4 linked regions of the Pelodiscus sinensis genome follow. The protein of the gene in region 2 interacts with the protein of the main gene of each other region in a pairwise test. Links are inferred from orthologs where the notes say so. Each region holds a gene or a part of one and is shown on either strand. Other genes may lie near its edges.

Region 1 (6,822 bases), on a different chromosome or scaffold from region 2:
CCCCTCTCTCTGCATTGCCCACACCTTCCCCTATCCCTAAATCGCCCACTCATTCCCCTCCCTCTGCATGGACCACCCTCTTCCTGCATCGCCCACCTCTTCCCCTCCTGCATGGCCCACCCTCTTCCCCTCCTCCTGCATTGCCTGCCCCTTACCCTCCCCCTACATCATCACCTTCCCCGGCCCCAGCATGGCCCACCCCCACCCCTAACCCTGCATTGTCCACCTCTTCCCCTCCCCCTCCATCACCCAGCCACTGCAACTCCTCTCCATCACCCTCCCACCCCTCCCCCTGCTTCCCCTTCTCCTCCCCCTTCTTCCCCCGCCCCCTGCATGGACCACCCCCTACCCCTAATCCTGTATCGCCCACCTCTTCTCCTCCCCCTTCATCGCCCACCCCTTTCCCTTCCCTCTGTGTCACCCACCCCCTTCTCCTCCCCCTGCATCGTCCAACCCTTCCCCTCCCCTTGCACTGCCTGCCCCCTTCCCCTCCCACATCATCACCCGTCCCCTCCCGCTACCCCCTGCATCGTCCAACCCTTCCCCTCCCCTTGCATTACCCCCCTTCCTCTCCCCCTGCATCCCCCATTCCCTCCCATTACCCCCTGAATTGCCAACCCTCTCCCGCTACCCCCTGCATGGCCCACTGCTTCTCCAACTCCCTGCATCGCCCACCCTTCCCCTCCCCCTGCATCACCCAGCCCAGGTGTGGGCAACCCGCAGCTCTTGAGTTGCATGTGGCTCTTTGCTCAAAGCAATGTGGCTCTTGCTAGTTCTGAGCCGCTCTGCACACATGCCACAGCACCTACAGGCAGAAGTGCATGGCTGTGGCGGCAGCTCCAATGAGACCCAGGCATTGGGTTAGCGCGGAAGTGGGGGGTTGGGGGTGCAGAGGGCATTGGGTTAGAGCAGGGAGGCTGGGGGTGCCTGGCTCTGAGGGAAGTGGAGGACATTGGGTTAGAGCAGGCGGTCTGGAGGTGCCAGGCCCCGGGGGAGAGGGTGGGGCATTGGAGCTACATCTAGACTATGGGGGTTTCCCAGAAAAACTGTGCCATGTCCAGGGGACATGTCTGTGCTTTTTTTTTCTCTCTTCTTCCAGAAGACCAGACACGCTTTTTCCAAAGCCCTGTCTTCCTCCTTCCATGAAAAAGTTTGCAAATTGCGGAGCACAATTTGTGTGCCTTTTCCCAATAAACTTTGAAAACAACAAATGGTCTGGTAGCACTTTATAGACTAACAAAACGTAGATGGGGTCATGAGCTTTCGTGGGCACAGCCCACTTCTTCAGATGACAGCGAAAGCTCATGATCCTATCTCCATGTTTTGTTAGTCTTTAAAGTGCTACCAGCCCATTTGTTGTTTTTTAAGTTTATCCTGCACAGACTAACTCAGCTACCCCCTGAAGCTTTTCCCAATAGATCATTGTAGTCTAGACATAACCTGGATTAGAGGGGGGAGGCAGGGGCTGAAGCATCTTAAACTCAAAGGCTTTGTCTATATTACAAGCCTCTTGCAGAAGAGCAAATGCAAATGGAGCACTCATTTGCATATGCAGCACTCTCATTTGTATTTCCTCGTCCTTTCCCTTTTGCTCAAGAGGTTTTTGGACAAAAAAGTGCAATGTAGATGGCACCTTTTTGCACAAAGATCCCCTTTTTCACAAGAGCCATTCTTCCATCCTGCTCACCACAGCCCAGCACCCCCTACTGGGTCCCCATCCTTCTCCCTGCTGCCCAGCACCCCCTGCTGGGTCCCTGCCCTGCTCCCCAGCATATCCTGCTGAGCTCCCTCCCTGCAGCCCAGTGACCCTGCTCAGCCCCACAACCCAACAGCCTCTACTGAGCCCTGTGCTTCCTGCAGCCCATAACCTCCTGCTGAGGCCCCACCCTGCTCCCCACAGCCCAGCACCTCCTTCTGAGCCCTCACCCTTCTACCTGCAGCCCAGCACCCCCCGTTGTGCCCCCACCTTGCTCCCTGAAGCCCAGCACCCGCTGCTGAGCCCCCACCCTGCAGTACAGTGCCCCGGGCTGTACCCTATTCTGCTTCCTGCAGCCCAGTACCCCCAGCGGGGCCCTCACTATGCTCCCTGCAACCCAGGGCCCCCTGCTGAGCCCCCTGCTCCCTGCAGCCCAGAACCTCCTGGTGGGCCCCCACCCTCTTCCTTGCAGCGCAGTGTTCCCTGCTGAGCCCCTGCCCCATTCCCTGCTGCCCAGTGCCTCCTGCTTATGACTGGGTTCTCCTTGCAGCTGCAGAAAGGCAGCTCTGGGCTAGTATTTAGGAGCAGGACTTCAGCTGCCCCTGCTATAACCCCTAGACCTCAACTCCCTACCTGAGCTGGAGAGAGAAGCCAGGAATCCTGTCTCCCAGCTGGCTCCATCCTACCCTCAACAGTTCCCCTTATTAGAGGGAATGGGGCTCCCCAGCTCTCCTGGCAGGGCTGGAGGTACCTGTTACCATCTCTTTAACCTTTTCCAGCCTACATGGACGGCAGCACTGGCCCTCCCCCTTTATCTCCCTGGGCTAGGCCGTGCCAGGGTTCGCACTTCAGAGTAACGTCAGCATCCGACACGCAGAGACAGAGAGGGTTGGGAATGTTTTTAACCTACAGACAACTGGGACCTGCTCCCAGCCCAGGGCTCCCTGCCAGAGCCCCTCACTCCCGATCCACAGCCCCCGCCAGCCCAGCCCTCCCGGAGTCCCTCACTCCCAACCCACAGCACCTGCCGGCCCCCTCACTTCCATCCCGGAGCCCCCTGCTAACCCAATGCTGGCCGCCCCCTGGGTCCCGCCCACAGCCCTGCCGGAGCCCCTCACTCCTGACCCACAGCCCCTGCATCCCTCGTTGAACTTTGCTTTTAACCCTGGCTACGTCTAGACTGGCATGATTTTCCGGAAATGCTTTTAACGGAAAAGTTTTCCGTTAAAAGCATTTTTGGAACAGAGCATCTAGATTGGCATGGACGCTTTTCTGCAAAAGCACTTTTTGTGGAAAAGCGTCTGTGCCAATCTAGTTGCACTTTTCCGCAAAAAAAGCCCCCATCGCCATTTTTGCCATCGGGGCTTTTTTGCGGAAAACAACTCTCAGCTGTCTACACTGGCCCTTTTGCGCAAAAGTTTTGCGCAAAAGGGACTTTTGCCCGAATGGGAGCAGCATAGTATTTCCGCAAGAAGCACTGATTTCTTACAGTAGGAAGTCAGTGCTTTTGCGGAAATTCAAGCGGCCAGTGTAGACAGCTGGCAAGTTTTTCTGGAAAAGCGGCTGATTTCCTGGAAAAACTGGCCAGTCTAGACACAGCCCCTCTGTATAATCCTGCAGTTGTATTACCACAACCTCCCAAAAGCACTGATTACAAGTCAGGGCCCTAGCTCCCTGTCCATCTAACCCAGAGCCAGAGAAAGAACTCAGGAGCTCTGCTCTAACCCACCAGATCCCCCTCCACAATCTGGGGAGAGGGGCCAGGAGACCTGGCCCCCACTGACCCTTTGCTGCACTGATACACAAGAGGGGCCATGCAGCAGCCTCCAAACTCATTTGCCTGGTGCCTGGGCCCCCAGGGGTTGCCAGATTCCTGCTGCTGCCTGAGGCTGTGGATCTAAGCCCAACCCTCCCTCGCCCAGCCCAGGCTGCCAGACCTGTCTCCACCTGCCTGGGTGTGGTTTGGGCCCTGCCCTACTTAGCCAGCAGGGCCAGAGGAGAGTTGAGCTCTGCTGCCTGATTGCTGTGGCTGCTCTGCTCTGGGTAAGTTGCCAGCTGGGCTGAGGATCCAGGGCTATTGTTTTAGCTGCCCTGTGTGAGCAGGCTACCCTGGGAGCTGACATGTTCAGTGCCCGGATTCTCCTGTTGGCTTTGCTTCTGCTACCCCTGTGCTCAGTGCCTGAGTTTGCCCCTCTGTAAAAGGGGGGAGGGGCAGGATAATCTGTGCTCTGGCAAGTTAAAATGCTACAGGATGGATTCTGGGGGGTGCCGATCTGAGAGGGGTCTGTATGGAACCAGGTGAGCAGGGAAGTGCTGATCTGGAGGAAGGGGAGGTGCCGATATGGGACTAAGTGGGGGTGTCTTTGTGGTGCCTGGCAGGGGAGGGGTGTGCTGATCGGGGGGGGGGGGGGGTCTGTGCAGTGCTTAGGGGGAGGGGCTCTGCAGTGCCTTGGGGTGGTGCTGGTCTGGAGGAAGGGGAACAGAGGGGGTGCTGGTCTGAGGGGAGAGGGTCTGTGCAGTGTCTGGGGCTGGTCTGGGGGAAGGGGGACTGTGCAGAGCTTTGGCAAGAGGGTTGCTGGTCTGGGGGGAGGGGAACTGTGCAGTGCCTGGGGGGCAGGCCAGAGAGGGTGCAATATGTCCCATGACATGCCCATAAAAGACTGGGGCTGCCCCTCCCCTGTCAGTGGTGGCTGAGGGGCTGCTCAGTGAGTTACCAGCATTCTGGGGTCCCTATGGCTGGGCGCCTGGCACTCGAAAGCAACCTTTGGCACAGGCTTGCGGGTGCTGCAGTGCAGCAGGAACACAACCCCGGCCAGGCCAGGCCAATGTGTCACGGCGCTGGGGCTCACCTACAAATGTATTTACTCTGGGCCCCACGGTGCCCAGCTCCAGCCAGCCCCCTCACTGGGCAAGAGAGATGCTTTCTGTGCCCCTCAGGACTCTGAGGCAGGGCAGAAGGAGGAGACTCTAGGAGGTCAGTTTCTATGACCCCCACCCTGGCCCTGCTTGTCCTGTTCTGCTGAGGCCCTGGGCTGGGGACACACCCTGACTGTGGAATCCGCCTGGGACTCCTGCCAGCCCAGCCCTGGGCTCCCTCTTGCTCCTAGAGCCCAGCTGGGAGAGGACTCCTGGGTTCTCCCCGGCCTGGGGAGGGGAGGGGTGTGGGGCTGGGGCTGAGGCTGAGAGCAGGACTCTGGGTTCTCCCTGGAGAGGGGAGGGGTGTGGGGCTGGGAGCAGGACTCTGGGTTCTCCCCGGCCCGGGGAGGGGAGGGGTGTGGGGCTGGGAGCAGGGCTCTGGGTTCTCCCCAGCCTGGAGAGGGGAGGGGTGTGGGGCTGGGAGCAGGGCTCTGGGTTCTCCCCAGCCTGGGGAGGGGAGGGGTGTGGGGCTGGGAGCAGGGCTCTGGGTTCTCCCCAGCCTGGGGAGGGGAGGGGTGTGGGGCTGGGAGCAGGGCTCTGGGTTCTCCCCAGCCTGGCGAGGGAAGGGGTGTGGGGCTGGGAGCAGGGCTCTGGGGTGTGGGGCTGGGAGCAGGGCTCTGGGTTCTCCCCGGGGAGGGGAGGGGTGTGGGGCTGGGAGCAGGGCTCTGGGTTCTCCCCGGGGAGGGAAGGGGTGTGGGGCTGGGAGCAGGGCTCTGGGTTCTCCCCGGGGAGGGGAGGAGTGTGGGGCTGGGAGCAGGGCTCTGGGTTCTCCCCGGGGAGGGGAGGGGTGTGGGGCTGGGAGCAGGGCTCTGGGTTCTCCCCGGGGAGGGGAGGGGTGTGGGGCTGGGAGCAGGGCTCTGGGTTCTCCCCGGGGAGGGGAGGGGTGTGGGGCTGGGAGCAGGGCTCTGGGTTCTCCCCGGGGAGGGGAGGGGTGTGGGGCTGGGAGCAGGACTCTGGGTTCTCCCCGGGGAGGGGAGGGGTGTGGGGCTGGGAGCAGGGCTCTGGGTTCTCCCCAGCCTGGAGAGGGGAGGGGTGTGGGGCTGGGAGCAGGGCTCTGGGTTCTCCCCAGCCTGGGGAGGGGAGGGGTGTGGGGCTGGGAGCAGGGCTCTGGGTTCTCCCCAGCCTGGGGAGGGGAGGGGTGTGGGGCTGGGAGCAGGGCTCTGGGTTCTCCCCAGCCTGGCGAGGGAAGGGGTGTGGGGCTGGGAGCAGGGCTCTGGGGTGTGGGGCTGGGAGCAGGGCTCTGGGTTCTCCCCGGGGAGGGGAGGGGTGTGGGGCTGGGAGCAGGGCTCTGGGTTCTCCCCGGGGAGGGAAGGGGTGTGGGGCTGGGAGCAGGGCTCTGGGTTCTCCCGGGGGAGGGGAGGGGTGTGGGGCTGGGAGCAGGGCTCTGGGTTCTCCCGGGGGAGGGGAGGGGTGTGGGGCTGGGAGCAGGGCTCTGGGTTCTCCCTGGGGAGGGGAGGGGTGTGGGGCTGGGAGCAGGGCTCTGGGTTCTCCCGGGGGAGGGGAGGGGTGTGGGGCTGGGAGCAGGGCTCTGGGTTCTCCCCGGGGAAGGGAGGGGCTGCCTGCACTGGCCCCCTCCCCAGCCCACACAGGCCGAGCTTGTGCTGACAGTTGGTGGATGGAACCAGACAAATCCAGAGGCGCCAGAGGCTGCGTTGGCGGGGGAGGGGAACTCACCTGTGGCAGGACGCTCCCCAGGCAGGTAGGGGGCTGGTGCTGGGTTTCCACCTGAGTGTCTGGGGAGACAGGCTGGGCTGTTAAAAGCCTGGTTGGGGGGGGGGGGGGGGGCTGCATGGCTCTTGGGCAGCCTCAGGTCCACCCGCCAGCGCCTGTGCCTGGGGCAGACTCCTCATACTGTCCCCACCCCCAGCACCAGCCAGACCGCTCCCATGGGCTGCATGGAGCTACTTGGCCAAGCCTGCAGTTAGGAGCTGGGGGCCATACTGTTGTTTCTGGAAGCTGCTTGAGGTAACTGTGGATCCTGCAACCAAGGACTTCCTGCACCCCAATCCCCCTCCCACCCTCTAAACGCTTCAGTCCCAGCCTGCACCCCAAACCCCTCGTCCCCAGCCATGCCTCAGAACCTGCACCCCAGCCAGAAACCCCTCCTGCCCTCTGAACCCCTCATTTCTGGCCCTGCCCTGGAACTAGTCTAGAGCCTGACCCCCCTCCTGTACCCCAACCCCCTGCTCCAGTCTGAGCCCCCCATCCTC
Region 2 (7,995 bases):
ATGCTCATCTCAGTGAACAAAAGGAACATTTTCCATGGACACCTTTTCCCTTGTGTGTACCCATCCAAGCACTGATTAGACCCAGCCATGTTTATGCTTTTTAAACTAGATATCAGTCATCCTCTGACAAATAACACTGTTCTCTTTCAAACATCCCTTTTCAAACACATTAATTTATTAATTCCAAGATGCACCTTAGACCTATGATCCAATTATTTCATCTTGTAACAGACTTAGATTTTATAAACTACTGCTTAAGTGACAAGATGATTAACTAAAGAAGGTTACTGTTGCAGGAAAGGGTTCTTAGTGAACTCAATGCTCACTCAACTTCTTTAGAGGGAACTACATTTGCTGAGCATTACATGAAGAGTCTCCATATTGAACCTCATCTCTCCCTCCAAAGAAAAATCATTGACAGTTTTAAGGATTACCATGCAACCCTAGTGCTTTGATGTTAAGTACAATACTCTGAAAAGCAACTATGTAAAAATGAGATCTTCTTAATCAACAGATCCCGTCCCATTAAGATTTGATGGATTTCCTAAAGTTAATCTTTGCTCCTTTTTATGGCAGTTTTCCCTGCAGATCCACTACACAAAGGGTGAATTAGATTCCAGTACATTCTGGCTTTGGTATCATCAACAGATTTGTTATCTGCACTAAGATTACAGAATCTTTATTGTTGATCCTGCACAAGAACAAAGAGTCTCAGATCCCCAGGGTAGTCTGTGGTGTAAATGGAAAAAAAAGTTTTTACTTGTCAATTGAGCATAATAAATCTAGAGTCACTGAGAAATAATGAAAATGGATGACTCCTCAGGTCAGTTTTACAGTCACTGCCAGAACAGAGATGGAATTTAATCAGTCAGGAAATTAACACAATGCATATGGTCAGTACACATTTGTAAATATCATGTCATGGTGGGTATCACTGGATGAGGCAGTAGGTATAGTCTATTTGATATAGTTAAGTTATACAACTCCCCTAATGCGGCTCCAGATATAGTGGCATAAAAATACATATAATGATTTATATTATTCTTATATAAAAATAAGCTAATTTGCTGCAAGGGACTTTTATATTAGAATAACTTCATCCCATCCAAAGGCTTTTACCAGTATTACTGAGGGGGCGGCAGAGATCCCACTCCTAATTAAAATAATTACACAAGTAAAACTTTCAAATGTATGCAGACCAGGTCTTAGGTTGAGAACAAATGTTCTGTCTTGAGAAGACCTGCTGTGCGTGGGTTAGTTTTGGCATGCAAAGATTCTAGGTAGAATGAGCTGTGTAAGCAGAAGAAGAATTTACTCTCAACCTAAGGGTATGTCTACACTGCAATTAGAGGTATGCCGTCTCCACTCATAAACAGTAGGCTAGATGTGCTCTATTTAGCTCAAATAACTTATAGAAGACTTGCTGCAGTACAGGTTAGTCACTCCAATATATCATCAGGGTCCCTTGCTGCTGGAATTCACTGATATTGATTGAGTTAGCTAGATCAAAGGTAATTTAGGCATGTGTACATGTGCTGCAGTCCCTCCATGATGTTGACATATCCTTTGTCTCTAACTGGAGTCAATTCTTGAGACAGGCCATGGAGAGGCCTGAAAGGAGGTATTACTTCCATGCTGTTTGTGACCATCTCTGTTCCAGGACTGGTGTACATGTAAATAAAACATGTTACACTTAGAACAAACCAGATTCTGTGTCACTGTTTTATCTTTTACTGGGACGATAACCCCAGATAATCCAAAGCTACATTTGCTCACAAACAACAAAGTTTGAATTCCTCATCTGGGATAACGACCTCCTATGGAACTACTGTACATGTGAGTTACATGACATGAGTACACAAAGTCTGGACAATCTTCTTAAAGACAAATACTCTCTTTTGACACACTAAATAGATCTAGTCCTAGTTCACTCGTCCTCCCCCTAAAGTAAATCGCTACTGTGTTAGCCAAGCAACAGATGTTTCACCCCCAGGTCATTTTACAAAAAGCAGGTAAGCAAGGGAAATAGCAGCAGAAGGGCTGCCCCCACAGCTTTAGGGTCTCCACTCTCCAGTGCAGTTAGAGTGGGATGAGTTAATTATGCCACGGAATTACACCCCAGGACCTGCTGCGGGATCCCTATTAGACACGGTTTCAAAAACAATGGCATGGATCTTACTAGAGGGGCTGAGACGACCGATCCCCTAGAGGAGGTGCCAGGAGTTGTGTGTGTGTGGGGGGGGGGGGAGCTCCAGAGGACTTGAGCTGGCTGAGCTTTGAGGCCCAGGGGGCGCTCAGGACTGCAGCCAGGTGCAGGAAAAGGGGCGCTGCGCTGCCCAGGCTCCCGGCACGAGTAGGAGCCGTTTGGCGGGGAGCCCAGGACAAGCAGGACGAGCCCAGGCAGCCCCCGCCCACCGCCGGCCGGCGCCCTTACCACATTGCTGAGGAAATCCGCTTCGTTCAGGTCGCCCAGGTCCAGGAAGCCGGAGCCGCCTCCGGGGAAGAGGCGCTCGGAGGGGAAGGGCTCCAGGATACTGTCCATGGTGCCGGGGTTAGGTGCGGCGCAGAGCCGCCCTCCCGCCAGCGCGGCGGGCCGGAGCCGGGGCGTCCTCGCTCCCTCCGCAGACCCGCCAGGCTCGGAGTTACTCCCGCGCCGCCCGGTGCAGCCGATGGCAGGGCCCCGGGCACCGACTGCACATGGCTCCTCCTCCCAAGGGACGGCGGCAATCCATAGGGCGCGGGGGCACAGGGGCTCCCCGGAGAGGCGGGGGCTGCTGGGGGTCCCCCGACGGCTGAGGACGGGACAGGGGGGCAAAGGTGCCACGCCTGGGGCTGGGCAGATCCGAACCCCCCGGGCGCGGGCAGGGGCCCGGGCTGCCTCCTGGAGCCGTGCAGGAGGAAGGCGGGGCGGTGCACTCCGCCGGGACTCCCCTCTGCCCAGCTGTCACTTTCACACTCCGCCGAGGATCCCCAGGCTCAGCCGCCTGGCCGGCCTGGACATCACGCCCCCTAGCTCATGAATATTAAAGGTTCTGCGAGGCAGCACTCCCCTCCTTGATCAGCCTCTTAAGGAAGCTCTGGTGCAATGCCCTGCTCCTCCCTTGCTCTCACACTGACAGCACAGAGCTAGGGACAGTGGGCGCATCCTACCCAGAGCCAGGGCAGGGAACTGGGCTCGTGGAGGATCTGAGCAGCTATCAGGCCCCAGACAGCCTGGGGGACAACACAGACAGAAGCCATTGTGGGGAGATGTAAGAGGGAGAAAGCTGTGAAAGACCATTGCATGCAAGAGTGGCAGCCAGGCCACGGCTGACTGCTCCGCCTTTGCAGGGCCCAGTGCTAATGTGTGTCCCCAGCACAATCTAGAACTTCTCCTGGACATCCCAATGACTCTGACAAGGACAACTTCTGCAGCACCACATTAGGGCACTGGGCTCTGTACTCCCAGAGAGCATCTCCTACTGAGGGATACCAATTGCTACAGCACAAGGTTCCCTACCACTATTATGGGGATGATACACTAGGTGGCACTCTTCTGAGCCAGTAGTGTATTTCCAACACCCTAGGTCAGGGCTACTCAACTTTGGAAGCCCCGGGGGCCACAATAATACTCACAGAACATGCCAAGGGCCGCAACTTAAGTGTGGTTGCATATACATGCACATATATATACAAATAGCTTCTTTCACACTGATGGGCATGAATACAAAGATTAAGGCAAGACTACACAACACACAGGCCCCATTTAAGTTGGTTCTGCTGATATTAATAAAACGCAATATTTACCAGATTTCCACCCATGTGACAGCACTTTTAATGAGCAATGACAGTCCAGGAATTTAAATGCTAAAATGCATATCAACGGAAAACCACTATATTGATTATTTTTTTGCTTTGGCTCCCACCCGCAGGCCACATGTTGAGCACCACGTAAACCCAAACCACATCATGGGCTGCAAACAAATGGACCGTGGGCCACATGCAGCTCATGGGCCACGTGTTGAGTAGCCCTGCCCTAGGTATTCCTTTCATTACCTTAGAACAGGGGTGGCCACATTTACTGACTGCCAAAGCAAGTTCACTGTTAAACATCTGCCAATATTTTATCCTAAGATAGCCAAGCCTAGCGTCAGCTTAATGTTCATGTGACTACTTATTGCCAATTACCCTCAGCAAAAGTCAGTGCAGGGGGGCCTGTTAGCAGCATCCCATCTTGCAGCTCTGTAATTAAAGATTCAGGCACCATTTAAGAGCTTCAGGAAGATTATATGTCTTCAAATAAACAGGATTATAAATCCCTATCCCCTCTGATATTCACTCTGATGAACACTTAGGAAAACCTCTTAGAATAATCCTGTTGAAGCAGTTCTGGTATCCCTCAATCCCTACCCTCATGGCTCAGCCAGTGTAGCCCAAAGAATCCTTCATCTATGTCTGGGGAACCAATTCTTCAGAGAGAATGAAGGTGCATTTCTCCCAAAGGACACTTGGCTGCCAACTTCCAACTACAAGAATAATTTAAAATGATGAAATTGACCAGTAGGAGACAGGCGCTTTGGGGACACTTGCGTTTGTGTCAGACTTTGAGATGCCATCAACAACTGAAGGTTCATAGTCACACTCTTTTCTTGATTCCACCAGGTCTCAGGGCTAATCCTAAATCCTAAAGACCAGAGAATGTCCCTCACACTAGTCCCCATGTGCAAATTCTCTGCACATATAGCCTATGTCTACACTACTAGGTTATTTCAAAATAAGTTATTTCGAAATAATAACTCCTGAAATAACTGTTTCAAAATATGCTTATTCCTTTTCACAAGCAGGAGTTATTATTTTGAAATAACAAGCCCATTATTTCAAAATGACAGGGTTGGTAGCGTGGATGCTCGCCTTGTTATTTTGAAATAAGGGGAGTTATCTTGAAATAACTCCCCAGTGTAGACATGCTCCATAGTGTGAGCGAGAACCAGGGCTTATAGCCACTTTAAATTACATTTGCTCTCACTTTCCCAATCCCTTTCTGCTGCCCATGAGGAGTAAAGTGGCCTTAATGTAAATGAAAATCATAGACACAAATAGTGAGCAGAGAATTGGGCTAGGATTCCAGAAGACTTTCAGCTTGTCACTTACATCAAGAACAAAAACAAGAAGGTATTTGGGACTAATTGTTTAACACAGGAAAAAAGGAAGAAACTTGCAATGTCCACAGTGCGTACTTCATAACCACTACAAGGAGACAATGGAAACAGAACAAAACAAAACAGAACAAAAACCTTACACTCCCCGTCCATAGTCTCTGGTAACAGAGCCACCTCAGATCCAGCTCTCTAATGTGGGGACACAGGGCTACACATGGGCAGTATGGCTACATTACACTTTGTCTGGTGAAAGAGTCCCTTCTTGATGGTTTTAGAGGTCTGCTCATGTGGTTCAAAAGCTAGGAGAAAAGGGCTCCACTCGATCCTTCCCAAGGAAGCTGGAAATATCTATTCTCCTCTTGCAGTGGTATGAGTTTCCTTAGGGCTTCTCTGACCTTCTTCCCAGGGCACCCATTTGCTCTCAGAAGACTGACATTTATTTCCTCATCACTTCTGGTGCTGCCTAAAAGAATGAGTAGTCCAGCGACAAGCACACTGGACTACACTAGACCAGCAAAATGCATAGCTGGATTCGGCTTACCTTAAGCTGAGCCACTGCAGCATCTAAACAAGAATGATTAAAGAGCAACAAGAATGATTAAAGGTCTAGAGAACATGACCTATGAAGGAAGGCTGAAAGATTTGGGTTTGTTTAGTTTAGAATAGAGAAGATTGAGGGGGGACAGGATAGCCGTTTTCAAGTGTCTAAAAGGGTGTCATAAGGAGGAGGGAGAAAATTTGTTCATCTTGGCCTCTGAGGATAGAACAAAAAGCAATGGGCTTAAACTGCAGCAAGGGAGGTTTAGGTTGGACATTAGGAAAAAGTTCCTAACTGTCAGGGTAGTCAAACACTGGAATAAATTGCCCAGGGAGGTTGTGGAATCCCCATCTGTGGAGATATTTAAGAGTAGGTTAGATAAATGTCTCTCAGGGATGGTCTAGACCAGTGGTCCCCAACACGGTGCCCGCGGGCGCCATGGCGCCCGCGGGGGCATTTCAATGCGCCCGCCAGGTGCTCGGGGCTGGCCTGGCCCCGGGCACATGGCGCATGGGCGCTTGCGGGGGGAGCGCCGGGCGCGCGGCACTCGGCGGGAGGCGGCGGGGGGAGCGCCGGCCCCGGGCGCGCGGCGGGGGGAGCGCCAGTCCCGGGCGCGCGGCACTCGGCAGGAGGGGGGGGAACGCCGGTCCCGGGCGCGCGGCACTCGGCAGGAGGGGGGGGAATGCCGGTCCCGGGCGCGCGGCACTCGGCGGGGGGGGGGGGAGCAGGAGCGCCGGCCTCGGGCGCGCGGCACTTGGCGGGGGGGGGGAGGAGCAGGAGCGGCGGCCTCGGGTGCGCAGCACTCGGCGGGGGGGGGGGAAGGAGCGCTGGCCTCGGGCGCGCGGGACTCGGCGGGAGGGTGGGGGTGGCGGGGAGCGCCGGCCCCGGGCGCGCGACCCTTAGAGGGGGCCCTGCCCCCGGGCATGCAGCTATGGGGGGACCCCGCCCCCGGGCGCGCGGTAGGTGGGGCCCCGCCCCCGGGCGCGTGGATGGGGGGGCGCCCCCGGTCCCCGCCCCCTGGCGCCCGGCGGGCAAACGGCCACGCCCCCTGGCGCCCGACAACCTAAAAAGGTTGGGGACCACTGGTCTAGACAGTATTTGGTCCTGCCATGGGAGCAGGGGACTGGACTCGATGACCTCTCGAAGTCCCTTCCAGTCCTTGTATTCTATGATTCTATGATAAACTGCAGGAGGCCAATGGGCTCACACACTCCTGTCCAGGCTTCCCTTACTCCTCTCAGAATGAGGAGCACAGGATGCTGGTGGGGGCTGCCCTCAGCATTTGATTGGGTGGTCTACACTAGATCCACTAAACTGAACACTAGAAGATCGACCTCTGGAGGGTTAATCTTCTCCATAATGTTTACAAGCCCTAGGAAGAGGGCTCTTTCCCCTGCCCTTCTCCCTAAGGATTAGGGTTGTTCATGGGTAACGTGTATCAGTGAAACTGGGGATGGTGGTAGTAGCAGAACTGAGGGCTGAAACAGCAGTGCTAGTGTCAAGACTGAGGTGCACTGGTAGAGCTATTATAGGGGAAGCTTGCACTGTTCCTGCCCTCACTAACCAAACCCTCATGTTACTTTTATAAGCACTAAACTTCACACCATGATTTTTAAAACCAAATTACTCTGAATTGCATAAAGCCTCTCTGATCCAGTTTTTCACCTAAGTTAGTTTAAGGAAATCTCCTTTCAGAATCACCCTTTTCATACAGGCGGGGTGCATGTATGAGGCAGAGCTACTGTTTGTATTCACCAGGTAGGCGTGTCATCAGAAAAGGTCAAGCAAAGTAAACGTGACTTGTTTGTCTGAATTGCAAAGGAAAAACACTTCAGCACATTCAAACAGGGACTTCTCCATCCTAGAGATTAAAAATGTCTCAGGAGAAAAAGTCTGTCAGCTCAAAGATCCTGCTTTGTATTTACACTTTTTTTCTAAAACATAAATGTTCTAAGCTCATATTCCCCTGGGGACAGTGCTGTATATCAGTGTTTCTCAACCTTTTTTAATAAAGTACCCCTTCAAAAAAATTATAAGTATCCCCCAGTACCTACAGTTTTCAGACACACACAATTTTTTTTCTGTCTTTGCAACATGTTTGTTTAAACAACTTAATCGCAGCCGGGCAGGTGATGAAATTTTTGGGTGTAAAAAGTACAAAAACAATAAAACACTGTAAAACCTAAAACAAAAATTGAGTTTTCTCCAAATTTCAATTGTGTTGACGTACTCCCCAGATTTCTCTCAAGTACCCCTAAGGGTATTCATACCACTGGTTGAGAAACACTGCTGTATATAAACAGATGAATGATCATATTG
Region 3 (7,211 bases), on a different chromosome or scaffold from region 2:
AAAGTTGTCGATATAATGGTCGTCTGTTGAGATGTGTTTTAGTAGTTAAATTCCTGGACTGTCATTGCGCATTAAAAGTGCCGTCACATGGGTGGAATTCGGTAAATATTGCATGTTATTAATATCAGGAGAACTGACTTCAATGGGGCCTGCATGTTGTGTAGTCTTGCCTTCATCTTTGTATTCATACCTGTCAGTGTGAAAGAATCTATTTGCATATATTTGCATATATATTTGCATGTACATGCAACCACACTTAAGTTGCGGCCTTCAGTATGTGCTGTGAGTCAGAGTTGTTGAGTCCCATGACTTGAACTCGAATCTGACTTAAGTCGCCGAGGTGACTTGACTTGAGACTCAACTCGGGTTCATTGTTTGTGACGTGAGACTCGCTAATTTTGTTAAATCGACTTGGTGAAAAAATTGTCTGAAAATGCCGATATTGATGGCTTGTACAAAAGTGTCTTGACATTTTTTAAATTAAGACTTGAGACTCGACTTGGGACTTGACTCGAAAGTGACTTTAGGGACTCGAGACTCGACTTGAGACTTGAACTGTAGTAACTTGAGACTCGACTTGGACTTGACAATGACGACTTGAAGACAACACTGCTGTGAGTATCATTGTGGCTCCCAGAGTTTCCAAAGTTGAGTAGCCCTGGTATACAACATTACTGTGCTATAGCAATGTATCATGCATAGCCTATCACCCCACACTGGTGGTTAATATCGTGTATGTATTAACACTCAATGCTGAATTATAGATGCTCCTGATATTACGACTTAAAAGTCTGTGCTCCAGCAAGGATTGAAGATAGCTATCAACCTGTCTCCAGTTTCAATTAAGCATTATGTAATCAAAGCAATGGGAGCCTTACTTACATCTGAACCAGCGGGGGAATGAAAAACTCACAAAAAGGGAAGGACAACAGGAAGTCATCCCGATTGTGGAGACAAATCAAAGAGGGAAATATAAGTAGGGATGTAAAATCCCATTGAATTATGGAGCTAGTTAAACTGGTTAACAGATTAAATGGGGGCCGCTGGGGGGGGCACTCCACCCTACTGGGCCGGAGTGGTCTCACTGCCAGCCACGCCCCGGCTTCTCCAGCTGGCTGCCAGCTCACAGTCTGTGTGGGTTGGGAGTCGGCAGCCTCACACAGGGCCAGAAGTAGCAGCAGGGTGGGGGGAGGAGGCTGACAGCTCCCAGCCCACATAGACTGACGGACCGCGTGCAGGAGTCTGCTCTCGGGTAGCAGTTAACCGTTACACGGTAAGCATCACCCATGCTCACTGGGTAACCGGTTACCAAGTTACCCATTCACATCCCTGAATATAAGTCGAAGGGGGGAAAAGCCATTACTTAGGGGGCATAGGAGCAACCCCCGGTGAAAGCAGGATCCCCTAGTCTAGAGGACTAAGGATGCTGGTAACTTGATGTAAGAAAGGAACCGGCTTAGGCACAGATCGTAACTTGCTAAGACTACCTTTTAGTCATGGGAAAGTGTGTTTTATTTTGCTTTATTTGTAACCATACCCATCTCTTTTTCTCTTATGTTAGTCTCATGTAAATGTCTGGTCTTTGTTGCTAAACCTATTCTTGATTTGTTACAGAACCAGCGCAGTGCTGCCAGGTGTAAGTCTTCAGCTCACGGAACAGGCTGATGTGTTCTCTGTCCCTTTGGAGGCAGGCAGCGAACCTGGTGACTTTGGTGAGGGAGAGGGACTGATACTGCAGAAACAAAAAACAGGACTATGTAGCACTTTAAAGACTAACAAGATGGTTTATTAGATGATGAGCTTTCGTGGGCCAGACCCACTTCCTCAGATCAAATAGTGGAAGAAAATTGTCACAACCATATATACCAAAGGATACAATTAAAAAAATGACCACATATGAAAAGGACAAATCAAATTTCAGAACAGAAGGGGAATGCGGGGGGAGGGGGGAGGTAAATGTCTGTGAGCTAATGGTATTAGAGGTGATAATTGGGGAAGCTATCTTTGTAATGGGTAAGATAATTAGCGTCTTTATTCAAACATGCTTAAATTTGACACTTTACACTCAAGTTTGAATAAGGACTCCAGCCCACGAAAGCTTAGACCCAAATAAAAGTTTCAGAGGGGTAGCCGAGTTAGTCTGTAACTGGAAAAACTTAAAAAACAATAAAAGTGTTTGTCTTTAACGTGCCACGGGACTCCTTGTTGTTTTAGTAATCACACAATGGTTCAGACGTCTGGGGCTTCTTGCATGAGAAATATGCAAATGAAGCTAAGAGTGGAATATTGCCAACCCTCATTTGCATACCTAATGAGCTGCCATTTTTGCAGAAGGGGCTCTTGCGCCAGAACGAGCTGTCTACACTGCCCCTTCTTGCGCAAGAAAAACCCTCTTGCGCAATGCCATTACTCCCATTATTTTCAGGAATAACGGCGTTGCGCAAGAGGGTTTTTCTCGCGCAAGAAGGGGCAGTGTAGACAGCTCCTTCTGGCGCAGGAGCCTCTTCTGCAAAAATGGTGGCTCATTAGGTATGCAAATGAGGCTCGGCAATATTCCACGCTTAGCCTCATTTGCATATTTCTTGTGCAAGACGCCGCGAGTGTAGACATAGCCTGGGAGTCCTAGACTCTAAGGAAAGAGGGTCAGAACGATCTCACCACGCTCTAAAAATGAAGGATTTTATTCTTGCTAATTCACGCCATTCACCACCGGATCTAAAGCCCATTGCAGTCGAAAGGAATCTTTCCTACGACTTCAGTAGCCTTTAGATCAGGCCCCTTGAGGGACCATTGCTCAAATCTTAGACTGGGGAAGATTTTATATCTCCATGTTTTTGGAGTCATTTTGGTTTCTTCCCCCGTACTCTAAGCTCTTTGGAATTACGGGCTGTTGCAATGGGGTCTGTCCATTCTCCAATAAAAGGATGCTCCCTGGTGAGAAGTGAAGGAAGACAGTTCCGGGCCTGGAGCCTTTGGTGGAAGATGTGGGGCAGCAGGATGCTGATTCCCGAAAGGGCCCATCAAGCCCCTGGCTATGTGTCATGGAGTGTGGGGGAGTCACCGGGCCCTGCACCCCATCCGCAGTGAGATGTGATTTTCAGCCAGCAAGTAAAACAGAAAGTTTCTTGGTTCACAGCGTGGCTCAGATTTGTTGTTACAGGAACCAGGAGCATTCAGCGCAGCCCATCTTGGGGAAAGCCCCAGCCCCCGGCCAGTTAGGTTCCCTTCTCCTCCAGCCAGCCGAAAACTAACTCTCACTCACAGCCACTGCTCCCAGCGCCCCAGCAGCCCCGCCTCCTCCTTGGTCCTTCTTCCAGGCCCAAGGTGTTATTTGTGGTCACCTGGGCCTCAGGACATGAGCGACTGCATAATGGGCTGTGCCCATGAAAGCTCATGATGCCATCTATATGTTTTGTTTGTCTTTTAAAGTGCTACGAGACTATTTTTTTTTTACGTTTATACTTCCACAGTGAGTCGTGCCGAGCCTTCCCCTCCTCATGCAGATAGTGCTGCAGTGCCCAGGGAAACTGAGGTGCGCGCGCACACACACACACACACACACACACACACACACACAGAGTTACTACAGAACAGCACAGGACAGTAGAATCACATAAAGCACAACAAAAAGCAAACTGAGTGCATACAAATCAGAGTGACGACAGCAGCCGACACAGTCCCCACTGTCGCACTATGGTCAGTTCAAGGGGGCGGCGTGGGAAAGTTGTGTCTAGCGCCGTACAGCACCGAGCACGCGGTCGGCATTGAACGGGCAGTCGTGTTCCTTAATGCTAATCGTCTCTCTGATCAGCCTCAGCCAATCATTGAGCAAAACTCAGGGGCGTGGGAATTCTGCCAGAGCCCCCCACCCCCTCCAAGTGGGGGGCAGCGTGCAGCCCAGAAGGTGCCCAGTGGGGCGAGCGTGGGAGAATGGGGCAGCCAGGCTGTGAGCTCTGGTCCTGAAATCCTCGTGGGGAGCTGCTCTGCCCTCAGCACCCCCCTTCCTCCTGCCCCTCGCCCTACCCCCTGCCGCTGCTAGCACGCCTCGTGCCCTGGGCTCAGCCAGGGGCGCGGCAGCAGCCCTGGGACTACAACTCCCATCACCCCCCGCTGCAAAGCTGCCGGCGTCGGCGGGGCCGCGCGGAGGCTTCTGGGAGCTGTAGTCCCCCGCGGGCGGAGCGGCCGTGGCGAGGCACGGCCGGCGGGCGGGGGAGGAACTACAGGCGGGCGGCGGCTGCTCCCCGGGGAGGTGGCGCCGGGACCGGCTCGGCGCGGCGCTGGGAGCCCCCCGCCCGTCACCATGCGCCTGGCCGCGGCCGTCGGGCTGGTCTTCGGCGGCTGCTGCAGCAACGTGGTGTTCCTGGAGCTGCTGGCCAGGTGCGCGGGGGGGCCCTGGGGGGGGCTGCGGGGCTGGGGCCCCTGGGGGGGTGGGGTGGGGTGGGGTGGGGTGGGGGATGGGGGGGGAGAAGGGCTGTGGGGCTGGGGCCCCTGGGGGGGGGAGGGCTGTGGGGCTGGGGCCCCTGGGGGGGGGAGGATGGGGGGGAGGAGGGCTGTGGGGCTGGGGCCCCTGGGGGGGTGGGGGATGGGGGGGAGGAGGGCTGCGGGGCTGGGGCCCCTGGGGGGGTGGGGGATGGGGGGGAGGAGGGCTGTGGGGCTGGGGCCCCTGGGGGGGGGAGGATGGGGGGGAGGAGGGCTGTGGGGCTGGGGCCCCTGGGGGGGTGGGGGATGGGGGGGAGGAGGGCTGTGGGGCTGGGGCCCCTGGGGGGGTGGGGGATGGGGGGGAGGAGGGCTGTGGGGCTGGGGCCCCTGGGGGGGTGGGGGATGGGGGGGAGGAGGGCTGTGGGGCTGGGGCCCCTGGGGGGGGGGAGGATGGGGGGGAGGAGGGCTGTGGGGCTGGGGCCCCTGGGGGGGGGAGGATGGGGGGGAGGAGGGCTGTGGGGCTGGGGCCCCTGGGGGGGGGGAGGATGGGGGGGAGGAGGGCTGCGGGGCTGGGGCCCCTGGGGGGGGAGGAGGGCTGTGGGACTGGGGCCCCCTGGGGGGGTGGGGGATGGGGGGGAGGAGGGCTGCGGGGCTGGGGCCCTCTGGGGGGGTGGGGGATGAGGGGGAGGAGGGCTGTGGGGCTGGGGCCCCTGGGGGGGTGGGGGATGGGGGGGAGGAGGGCTGCGGGGCTGGGGCCCCTGGGGGGGTGGGGGATGGGGGGGAGGAGGGCTGCGGGGCTGGGGCCCCTGGGTGGGGTGGGGGATGGGGAGGAGAAGGGCTGCGGGGCTGGGGCCCCTGGGGGGGTGGGGTGGGGGGGAGGAGGGCTGCGGGGCTGGGGTCCCTGGGGGGAGGAGGGCTGCTGGGCGGGGGGCAGAGCTCCTGAGCTTGGGCCCCGGGGCTGGGGGGGGGGGGGGGGGAGAAAGCAGGGCTCCTGGTGTGGCTCCTGGGCTAGAGGGGGCGGGCAGGGACAGGGCTCCTGGGCTAAGGGCTGGGGGCAGGGCTGCTGGGATGGGGTTGGAGCTAGGGGTTGCCAACTCTGACTGAAGTTATCCTGGGAGATTCCCCCCCGCCCCCCCTTCTCTCTCTCTCTCTCTCTCTCTCTCTCTCTCTCTCACATACAGAAAGAGAGAGAAGAGAGACCATTTTCTTACAATAGCCTATTAAAACCTCCAGGATAGCTTTCCTTGGGCGATTGACACCGATTCTGGAAGACTCCTGGCCAGTCCTGGAGAGTTGGCATCCCTCTCTGGGGATGGGTCAGGGATGCCTGATGTGACTTCTGGGCTGGGGCGGGGGGAGGGAGCAGGGCTTTTGGGCTTGGTGGTGGGGGAGGCAGCGGGGTACCTGGGCTGGTGTTGCTAAGGGATTGGCTGCACTGACACATGACTGCACTGTGACTTTCTTGCTCAGGGGTCTGGAAACACCCCCCTCCCCTGCTTTAGGGTACACTTGAGTCATGTTTCCAAGCTTTTCTCTGCAAATTTAAGTGGTGTCAATGAAAACAAAATATGTGAATGTATTCCCATGACTCAAGGAGCTCGGGCACTAAAAAGACCATGGGACTCATAGTAAAATCATGAGATCTGGCACCACTGCTCTGCTTCCGGTGCAAGTCACTGCCTCTTTCTGTGACTCGGTTTCCCCATCAGTAGCACACCAGTGTACCTACCTGGTATATATTGAAAGTTCCTGTGGTGTTTACAAATGCAGAGTGCTGTGCGGGGTTATTGGCATGTGGCAATGTTTTAATAGGCCGGAGCTGAGATCCTCCTCCTTAAAAGAATGAAAAACCTCAAAAAGGATTTTCTGGTTATCAAAAAAAAACGTGGAAAGCCATGAAGTTTCAGAATCAACGCTACAATCAGAAGAAAGCCAAACTATGAGTAGCAAGGTGCGGTGTGGGGTATCAAGGGCCTTTAGCAATGCCCTGAGAAAAAGCCCTCTCTGAGGTGAATTTGCCTCTCCGTTACAAAGTCAGCTCCTCACTGATCCAAGAGAAGAATTTTACTTCCAATCGTACAGTGGTTAAACCAGGACTGCACTTCTTGGTAGCCTTGCACAGTTCATAGAAAGATGCGTTTTACCAGCAGCATACTGAGGAAAATAATTTCTCCCCTTCCCCCTCAAATTTCCCTGTGCTACCAATAAGGGCAGTTCCATTAGACACAGACCTACCCATGTAGCTGTCAGTCCCAGGATATTAGAAAGACATGGTGAGTGAGGTAATATCTTGTACTGAGCCAACTTCTGTTGGTCAGAGACATAAGCGTTCGAGCTACACAGACCGAATGTTGGTTTTCAAGCCTTCTGGCCATCGGTCAACCAAATAAGGCCCCGGAGCCTTGAGGTTCAATATCAGGGATGCAAAACCGCAGCCCGGGGCCAGATGCAAACCCTAACTTATCCAGCCCATAAGGCTCAGGGCCTCCCTCCCCACCCAGCCACTCCACTGCGGGGCTGGAGCACATGTGTGGCCCCCAACTGATTTTTCTGTGGGCCAGCAGGCCCCAACCCAAAAAAGGTTTCTCACCCCTGTTCTATACAGCGGACTGAGTTGTGTAGATCCAGTTGCAGGATTAGAGCCTAAGATGACCACTTACAAAGAAGAGAGGTGACTGGTTAGCAAAGCTTCACACTTCACGTCACAAAGACATCCATATGAATCTAGTTAACCAACCTGAGTTGTGTGTGTGTCATGTTTTGAAACGTCACCTGAGCAGGCTGCAGGTAAA
Region 4 (7,055 bases), on a different chromosome or scaffold from region 2:
ACGAAATACCCAAACCGTGGCTGCCCGCCCTATGAATTGCTGTGCACTAGTGAGACAGCTGCCGTGTTTTGCCCCAGAAGTGGCTGCATATAAGTGTGGGGTTGGAGGTCTAAAGTGATCATCTGCCTAGCTGGCCACGTGCAACGCACTCTGGGATCCGTATAGACCTGCGACAATCACACGTCCTAATTAGATAGCACATTTCTTCGGAGGACCTCAAAGCACCTTCCAGCCTTGAATTAACTCACAGCACAGCCCTGTGAGGCAGGCACATTGTCATCATCCCTGTGACCCAGAGGGGAAACTGAGGCACGGGACGCACAGTTGTGTGCCCAATATCACACCACACATTAGGTGCCTAGCGGGGATTGGAATTCTAGGTTCCCGGCTGTGTGTATTAATCACCACACCATGTCACCTCCCTAAAGATATACAATTTAATCACTGTGGGTTTGTCTGGACCAGGGGTGGGGTCCCCTTAGGATCATGAAGTTACTACCGTACTACTGGGGGGGGGGGGGTCATGAGCTCACCCTCCACCCCACTTTGCCTCCAGGATTGATAATAGTGTTAAATGTCTGAAAAGTGTTTTGAATCAATGGGGGGGGGGGGGGGGGATGATGCTCCGCAGCTCGCTGTGCGAAAGGGGTCACCGGCTCACCCCACCAGTCTACACTGATGTGCAGGGGTGTGACTGCAGCTCACGGGGACCTACCTGCGGAAGCGTTAACCCAGCTAGTTTGGCTCCTGGAGCAGCGCGCCGCCAGCCCTGCAAGTCACTAGCCAAGGTCCCGGGCAGGCCTGTGTGGCCCGCGCTGGAGGCAGAGGCAAGGTTAAAGCAAGCTCAGGACTGGTCCACACAAGCTGCTCTCAGACCCTGTGACAGCTGTATAGCTACCCCGTATTCCCCGCTGGCTGGTCTCTCCTGCTGTCCTCCAGCCCCGTATTCCCCACTGGCTGGTCTCTCCTGCTGTCCTCCAGCCCCGTATTCCCCGCTGGCTGGTCTCTCCTGCTGTCCTCCAGCCCCGTATTCCCTGCTGGCTGGTCTCTCCTGCTGTCCTCCAGCCCCGTATTCCCCACTGGCTGGTCTCTCCTGCTGTCCTCCAGCCCCGTATTCCCCCCTGGCTGGTCTCTCCTGCTGTCCTCCAGCCCGTATTCCCCGCTGGCTGGTCTCTCCTGCTGTCCTCCAGCCCCGTATTCCCCCCTGGCTGGTCCCTCCTGCTGTCCTCCAGCCCCGTATTCCCCCCTGGCTGGTCTCTCCTGCTGTCCTCTAGCCCCGTATTCCCCGCTGGCTGGTCTCTCCTGCTGTCCTCCAGCCCCGTATTCCCCGCTGGCTGGTCTCTCCTGCTGTCCTCCAGCCCCGTATTCCCCGCTGGCTAGTCTCTCCTGCTGTCCTCCAGCCCCGTATTCCCCGCTGGCTGGTCTCTCCTGCTGTCCTCCAGCCCCGTATTCCCCGCTGGCTGGTCTCTCCTGCTGTCCTCCAGCCCCGTATTCCCCGCTGGCTGGTCTCTCCTGCTGTCCTCCAGCCCCGTATTCCCCGCTGGCTGGTCTCTCCTGCTGTCCTCCAGCCCCGTATTCCCCACTGGCTGGTCTCTCCTGCTGTCCTTCTGCCTCACAGGTCAGACGGCCCGTCGGCAGGGCACATACCCACGCAGAACTGACGAGGTCTGCTCCATACCAGTCTCCTGGCAGCAGAAATCCACAGTATCCCCCTGCATCCCAGAGAGCTCCCTCCAGTGCCTCCCTGCCTGGCAGTCCTGCACAGGCCCCTGCACCTGGCCTGAAAGCAGCTCCAGGAACGGAGCCAGCTCGTGAGGACTCAGGGAGTCGGAGGCACTGGGGTCACATCATTGCTGAGCCAGCCCCCAGGAAGGGGGAGGGCAGGAGCCAAAGCAGTGGGTCTCTCGGAGCATGGAACCCACTGGGGTTCCTCATAAGCCAAGCACATGGGTGGCTGCCCAGGAGAGATTAGCAGAGATCAGGTGCTGCCCAGCTGATTAGCAGCACGCCCACAGCCTCCCACAGCTGGCAGCACGTTTCATCTGGTGGTGCACATCTGCACATGCCTTTGTACACGTGACAAAATTTATTCTGCACATGGGTGGAGAAAGTTTGAGGGAACCCTTCTGGCGGGGGGGGAGGGAAGGGTTGGCCAGGGACATGATCTGGGAAGGGTTCTGTGTCTTACAAAGTGCGCTGCTGACCCCACCAAGCACATCGCACGCACACCGGGGATTTTGAGAGCGAACCGACAAGGACACTAACATTGGCAGGAATCTCTGGATCAGACGATTTCATATCAGCCCCATGGAGCCGCCCCGGCCCTGGGATCGGCAGGCTGGTTTCCAAGCCGATCTGTGCACATGGATTCCAAATGGATGCATAATTCAGCTTTAAACAGAGATCCCATTCCGACCACTGCCACGGGGCAGCTATTCACCGTCCCACAACACCAGCAGGATTTCCTTTCCACGCTGGGAGGCAGATCCCACCTCTGGCAGCTTCCCTCTGACCGGCTGCTCCTGTCTTGTCCCGCCAAGGAGCTGCCTACTAGTGTCAGCTCCTTGGTCTGCACCTGCCACAGATGAGTAACAGACCGGGCTAAGTTGGACACGGGAGGGCACCGTGGCTCCAGGCTTCTGGCAGGACGGCACCCATTGTCAGTTACAGCCTGGCACCTGGCTGGGACTCTCCAGGCACTTGCTGATCCAAGGCCCTTAAAGTCCCACCAGCGTGCGGGGAAGGGAAGTTTAGAGCAAATATAACACCAGAATTAGCACCCCCCCCCAAATCTTTGATTTAAAAAATCCCTTTTGTGTTAGTTTGAAAGTTTGGAAAGTTCCTCTCATACTCACCCATTGTGTCTGGGCTCAGTCAAGTCCCTCTCACCGCCTTCCCTTTTGTGCCTCTCTTTGTTCAGCCCGAACAAATCCTCTCTCTTCGCTTTACTTTTGCTCTCTGAATATCTCTGGCCTCCTCTCCCAAAGAAAAGGACTTTCTGATTGACAGCCAGCCCCCTTAAAGGGACAGACCACCCTTTTCTCCTCCCCCTCCTCCCATTCTCCCTCCCCTCTCCCTCCCCCTCATGAGAGCTACTCCCTCTGCTCCAGGGTAGCTCGGTCATACCCAGGGGTGGCCCTAGACGAGCTGCCAGCAACTGGCACCCTAGGCGAGCCATGCAATCGGCGCCCCCCCTCCAAACCCCTCAATGATATCGCAAAACCATTTGGAGCCCCATTTAGCTTGGCGCCCTGGGCGACTGCCTAGTTCGCCTATATGGACGGGCTGCCCCTGTTCGTACCCTGATGCCTCAGGCTGCCCACTTCTCTCTGCCACAGGTCGGTGCGTTTCCCTGCTGCCAGAAAGCCGGCACGCTGGCCCCTTCGCCTGGGCAGATCAGGCAGCTCTGCAGCAAAGTCCGTGCTTTTGGGAAACTCTTAAAGCACCTCCAAGCGTTTCTAGTCGTGGCCTCTGAAGGGACGAGCGGGTTGGATTTGATTGCATTGGCCATGGGTCTTAGCCGGGACACACAGACACAGAGCTCACCTGGGCAGGGGTTACATGTGGGATGCTAATTACTGTGACAGGGCACAGGTGGCTGAGCTCTCCTGGCCATCCCACATCCCCACTGGTGAAGAGTTTATAACCAGCCATAAAACTCCCCACCAGGCCTGGATCCGGGGACAGAAGCCGCCGCTCCCACAAGGGACCCAGGTGTAACTTGGTTTCTGTGATCAGAAGCTAGCACCAGGCGTGGGTCCCTACCCTTGGGGCTTGGTGGCTTGGATTTGGCACCTGAAGGTTCAAACTCAAGCCTAAGATAGTGAGAATCGGGGTCACTCGGTTTCAGGGTGCACTGGAAGGGAGGGGGCCAGATTCCATTTCCCCCCTTCAGCTCCTGAGTCCAGTTTTAGGGAGACCACAACTTTCCTGCCCGGGGATAAGGGAGCATGAAACGTGCCGCCAGGGGATCTGCTGGGGCTGTATCTCCCTAGGGAAACAGCATCACACAAGAGCTGGTGTAACACGGCGGAGTCAGGGCTGGGCTGGCCGCTAGCCGCTAGCATCCTGCTCCTCCACGCTCACTGATGCTTGACCGTCTTATGGGCTGAAGAATGCCGGGCCGTGCGGGCTCTGGGGGTGGTCCTTCTGGGCTCAAGAGATCAGTGGGACAGTAGGGCAAAGCTGGCGCTGCCCCACCGTCCCTGGGCTGTGGGTGGGCAGGATCCAGACCTGCCAAGCCAGCCCCACGCCCCAGCACTAACTTCAGCCAGGAAGAAAAGTGCCAGTGCTCCAGCCAGTCGCTTGTGGGAAGCCTTCCAGCCCTGCTTGCCGAGGTGACTTCGAATGGGGGCAGATCTGGCAAGGACGGGGGGATGTGCCTAGTGGTCCCCACTTGTGGGACTCCCTGCTGTAGCTAGAGGCTGCCCCCCGGCACCTCTCTGGCAGCCAGCTGGAAAGCAAGCAGCAGCGGGGCTGTCTGTTGGGTAGGGCGAGTCCCCTCTGGGGCCAGGTGGAACGTACAGCCCCTCGCACTAGATCTCCCTGGGGATCAGCCCCCCGCTGTCTGGATGGGCTCCTGTGGATCCCAGCGACAGCTTCCCCATGTCCCCCCAAAACCTGGACCTCTGGGCAGACCCTGGGATTCCTCCTCCAGGAAATGAGGCGCCAGCAGCCGCAAGCCCTGGCCATCACGCCCCTCTCTGTCCCCCTCCCCCGGTGCCCTGTCACTCCAAGTCCCCACCCCACTAAGACCCCCCCGTTCCCTGCAGTGCTGCCAACGCGGAGGGAGGCCAGCAGAGGGCAGCGTGGCCCTGCCAGAGGCCGCCATGTGCTCTCCGGTGGGCAGGGGGGAACAAGGCGGGATTGTCCGAGGCGGATCCATCTCTCGCCCTCTGTGCCAGGCTGGGAGGTGGGAAAGCCTCCGGCTCTGCGCTTTGCTGAGCATCAGGACCTGGCCCGGGGCCCATGGCTGCAGCAGCCCCGGACAGCACACCTCGGACAGGCACCTGGCCCTGCCTCCGCGCTGGATCTCAGCCGGGGCAGGAGCGGGAAAGCGCTGAAGGTCGCCGGGGCCGGGAAGGCCAGTCCCGTGGGCCCGACCCTGCCTGGCCCGCAGCAGCAAACACTCGGCCTGGCAGGGGGAGTTTTTCCCGCCGCCCCCACGGCTGTGCCTCCCCCATACGCACAGGTCGGCTCGTATGCAGTGGGGAGTTCCCATCCAGCTCTCCTGGCATCCCCTGGCACTAGAGAGGTCGGCATCCCCCCCCATTTAAATAGCTGTGTCCGGTCCTTCCCCCTCCAGCCAAACTGCCCACCCCCGCCCCACCAGGGGTTAGTGTTGGCGCAGGCCTCTGCTCCTAGCCGAGCGTTTCCCAAGCTCCGGGGCTTTCCCTCTGCGGAGAGGAGAAAACCTGGCCCTGGGAGGTGATGTGGTGGGGCTAGTCCTCAAGAGCCCCTCCCGTGTCACGAGCCACGTGTCCCGCACCACGCAAGGCTGCAGCCACAAGAGCATCCCAGAGTCCCGGCTGGGCCTTGTTACGGTGTGGTCGGTGTGGGTGTCTGGGAAGGGCCGACTGCCTGGGACAAGCCAGCCACCAACCAATCCCAGGTTCTGTCCCTCTTCCGCCTCGATCCCTCTAGGGCTGCTGCTCTGGGCGGGATGCTGAAGCCGGCAGTACTGGGGGGGTGAAGACAGGGCGAGACAAGCCAGCTGAGAAAATGAGGGACCACGAGAGCGAGGGAAGGCAAATAATTCCAAGTCTCAGCAGCCACCCCAAGCAGTCAGGCCCCACGCTGGGAGAGGATGGGCGGAGGGAGATGGCTTTGAGAGGTTCTGCTGTTTCTCATTGGTGGTTCCCCCGACATCTGTGCCAGTGAGAGCTCAGAAGATCTCCCCACCTGCCACCCCCCGACAACTGGGGATCCAGCCGTGTCCCCTCTACTCCCTGTGCCAGCCCCGGCACTAGCAGCCCTGGACGGGGAGGTCAGCCACTGCCAGTGACCACACACGAGGCCGGGCTAGCAGCATTGACACTGTCTGGGCTCGCGTGCAAACGACACTAATCTGCTGGGATGCAGACAGGCAGGTGGGGAGCAAGGGACCTTCTAAAGACATGCTGGATGTGAGGGGCGGCTTTGCCTCCAAGGGGACCTTGGTTCCTGGCCAGAGACACCGTTGGCTTGATCCTGTGCACGTGCAGCTCCTTCGGCTGGGCTCTCGGTAGAGCCGAGCCGGAGACTTACCTAGCAAGACCACTGCTCCCCGAAGAGCTGTGTACGTGGCCAGGGCAAAGGGCGGCTGCAACGGGGCAGGTTAAGGATGCGGCTGGTAGCCTGGATGCTTTTCTCAGCGATCCGAGGTGGGGAGCAAAGCCGGGCCAGCAGCCCAGGAGGGAACGGATGCGGCTCGGTCCAGCCACACGGAATTCCAGGCCTGGGGACTCAGAAGCAGAGCGGACGCTCTCCAGGGTCCAGAGAGATTCCAGGTTCAGGGCCTCCGGGGGCCGGTGTTACTCCAGGGAGGGAAATGGAAAATTTAAGAGAGTTGATCTCAGCTCCCACCCCAGCGCCTCTTGCCAGCCTGCCAGTTGGGTTTGGTGCCTGCTCTTGCAAAGGGTTTGAGCTTCCCATGCGAAAAGCCTGTGGCAATGTGGGAGGATTTCGGGGGCAATCAGGCACCCTCCATAGCACGGCAGGTGTCTCCTCAAGGCCTTGCCAAGAGCCGCAGGCAGTTTTCTGCAGTTTTCTCAAAGGTACCCTAAGGGCTTTCCAAAGCAATGAGCTAGACACGGGGAGTGCAGCGAGCACGTGGGCAAACACAGCCACCATTATGTGCCCAACAATAGCTCCCACACCGCCGTGGCTGTTCAGATCTGCTTCCCCGAGCAAGGGAGCGCTGGCCAGGATCTTCCGGCTGCCCCCTGCTCTTTGCCCGGAGTTGGGTGGGATCCTTCCTGGGCTAAGGAGCGCCCCATTACGGCTCCTTGAAGGACCGATCCCTCCTGTTGTGCAGTCCTCATGCATCAGCGCTGGGGGAATCCACAGTCCCATTC

The links.
Region 1: the proteins of CREB3L1 (region 2) and FXYD domain-containing ion transport regulator 3-like interact in binary tests that used the Homo sapiens proteins (3 or more experiments, as listed by UniProt). The two-hybrid records come from large-scale screens. The link is inferred for Pelodiscus sinensis from reciprocal best matches to the Homo sapiens genes CREB3L1 and FXYD3.
Region 3: the proteins of CREB3L1 (region 2) and SLC35B4 interact in binary tests that used the Homo sapiens proteins (3 or more experiments, as listed by UniProt). The two-hybrid records come from large-scale screens. The link is inferred for Pelodiscus sinensis from reciprocal best matches to the Homo sapiens genes CREB3L1 and SLC35B4.
Region 4: the proteins of CREB3L1 (region 2) and PLP1 interact in binary tests that used the Homo sapiens proteins (3 or more experiments, as listed by UniProt). The two-hybrid records come from large-scale screens. The link is inferred for Pelodiscus sinensis from reciprocal best matches to the Homo sapiens genes CREB3L1 and PLP1.

What each region holds. Positions count from the first base shown.
Region 1 is NC_134734.1:6,495,973-6,502,794, reverse strand, and holds the start of FXYD domain-containing ion transport regulator 3-like, read left to right. Parts: upstream 1-3,804; 5' UTR 3,805-3,947; coding exon 3,948-3,994; intron 3,995-6,220; coding exon 6,221-6,311; intron 6,312-6,822. UniProt on the Homo sapiens protein: Associates with and regulates the activity of the sodium/potassium-transporting ATPase (NKA) which transports Na(+) out of the cell and K(+) into the cell.
Region 2 is NC_134714.1:83,758,364-83,766,358, reverse strand, and holds the start of CREB3L1 (cyclic AMP-responsive element-binding protein 3-like protein 1), read right to left. Parts: upstream 3,003-7,995; 5' UTR 2,543-3,002; coding exon 2,435-2,542; intron 1-2,434.
Region 3 is NC_134711.1:5,046,387-5,053,597, forward strand, and holds the start of SLC35B4 (nucleotide sugar transporter SLC35B4), read left to right. Parts: upstream 1-4,204; 5' UTR 4,205-4,300; coding exon 4,301-4,377; intron 4,378-7,211. UniProt on the Homo sapiens protein: Antiporter that transports nucleotide sugars across the endoplasmic reticulum (ER) membrane in exchange for another nucleotide sugar.
Region 4 is NC_134723.1:4,500,395-4,507,449, forward strand, and holds the start of PLP1 (myelin proteolipid protein), read right to left. Parts: upstream 3,011-7,055; 5' UTR 2,860-3,010; coding exon 2,856-2,859; intron 1-2,855.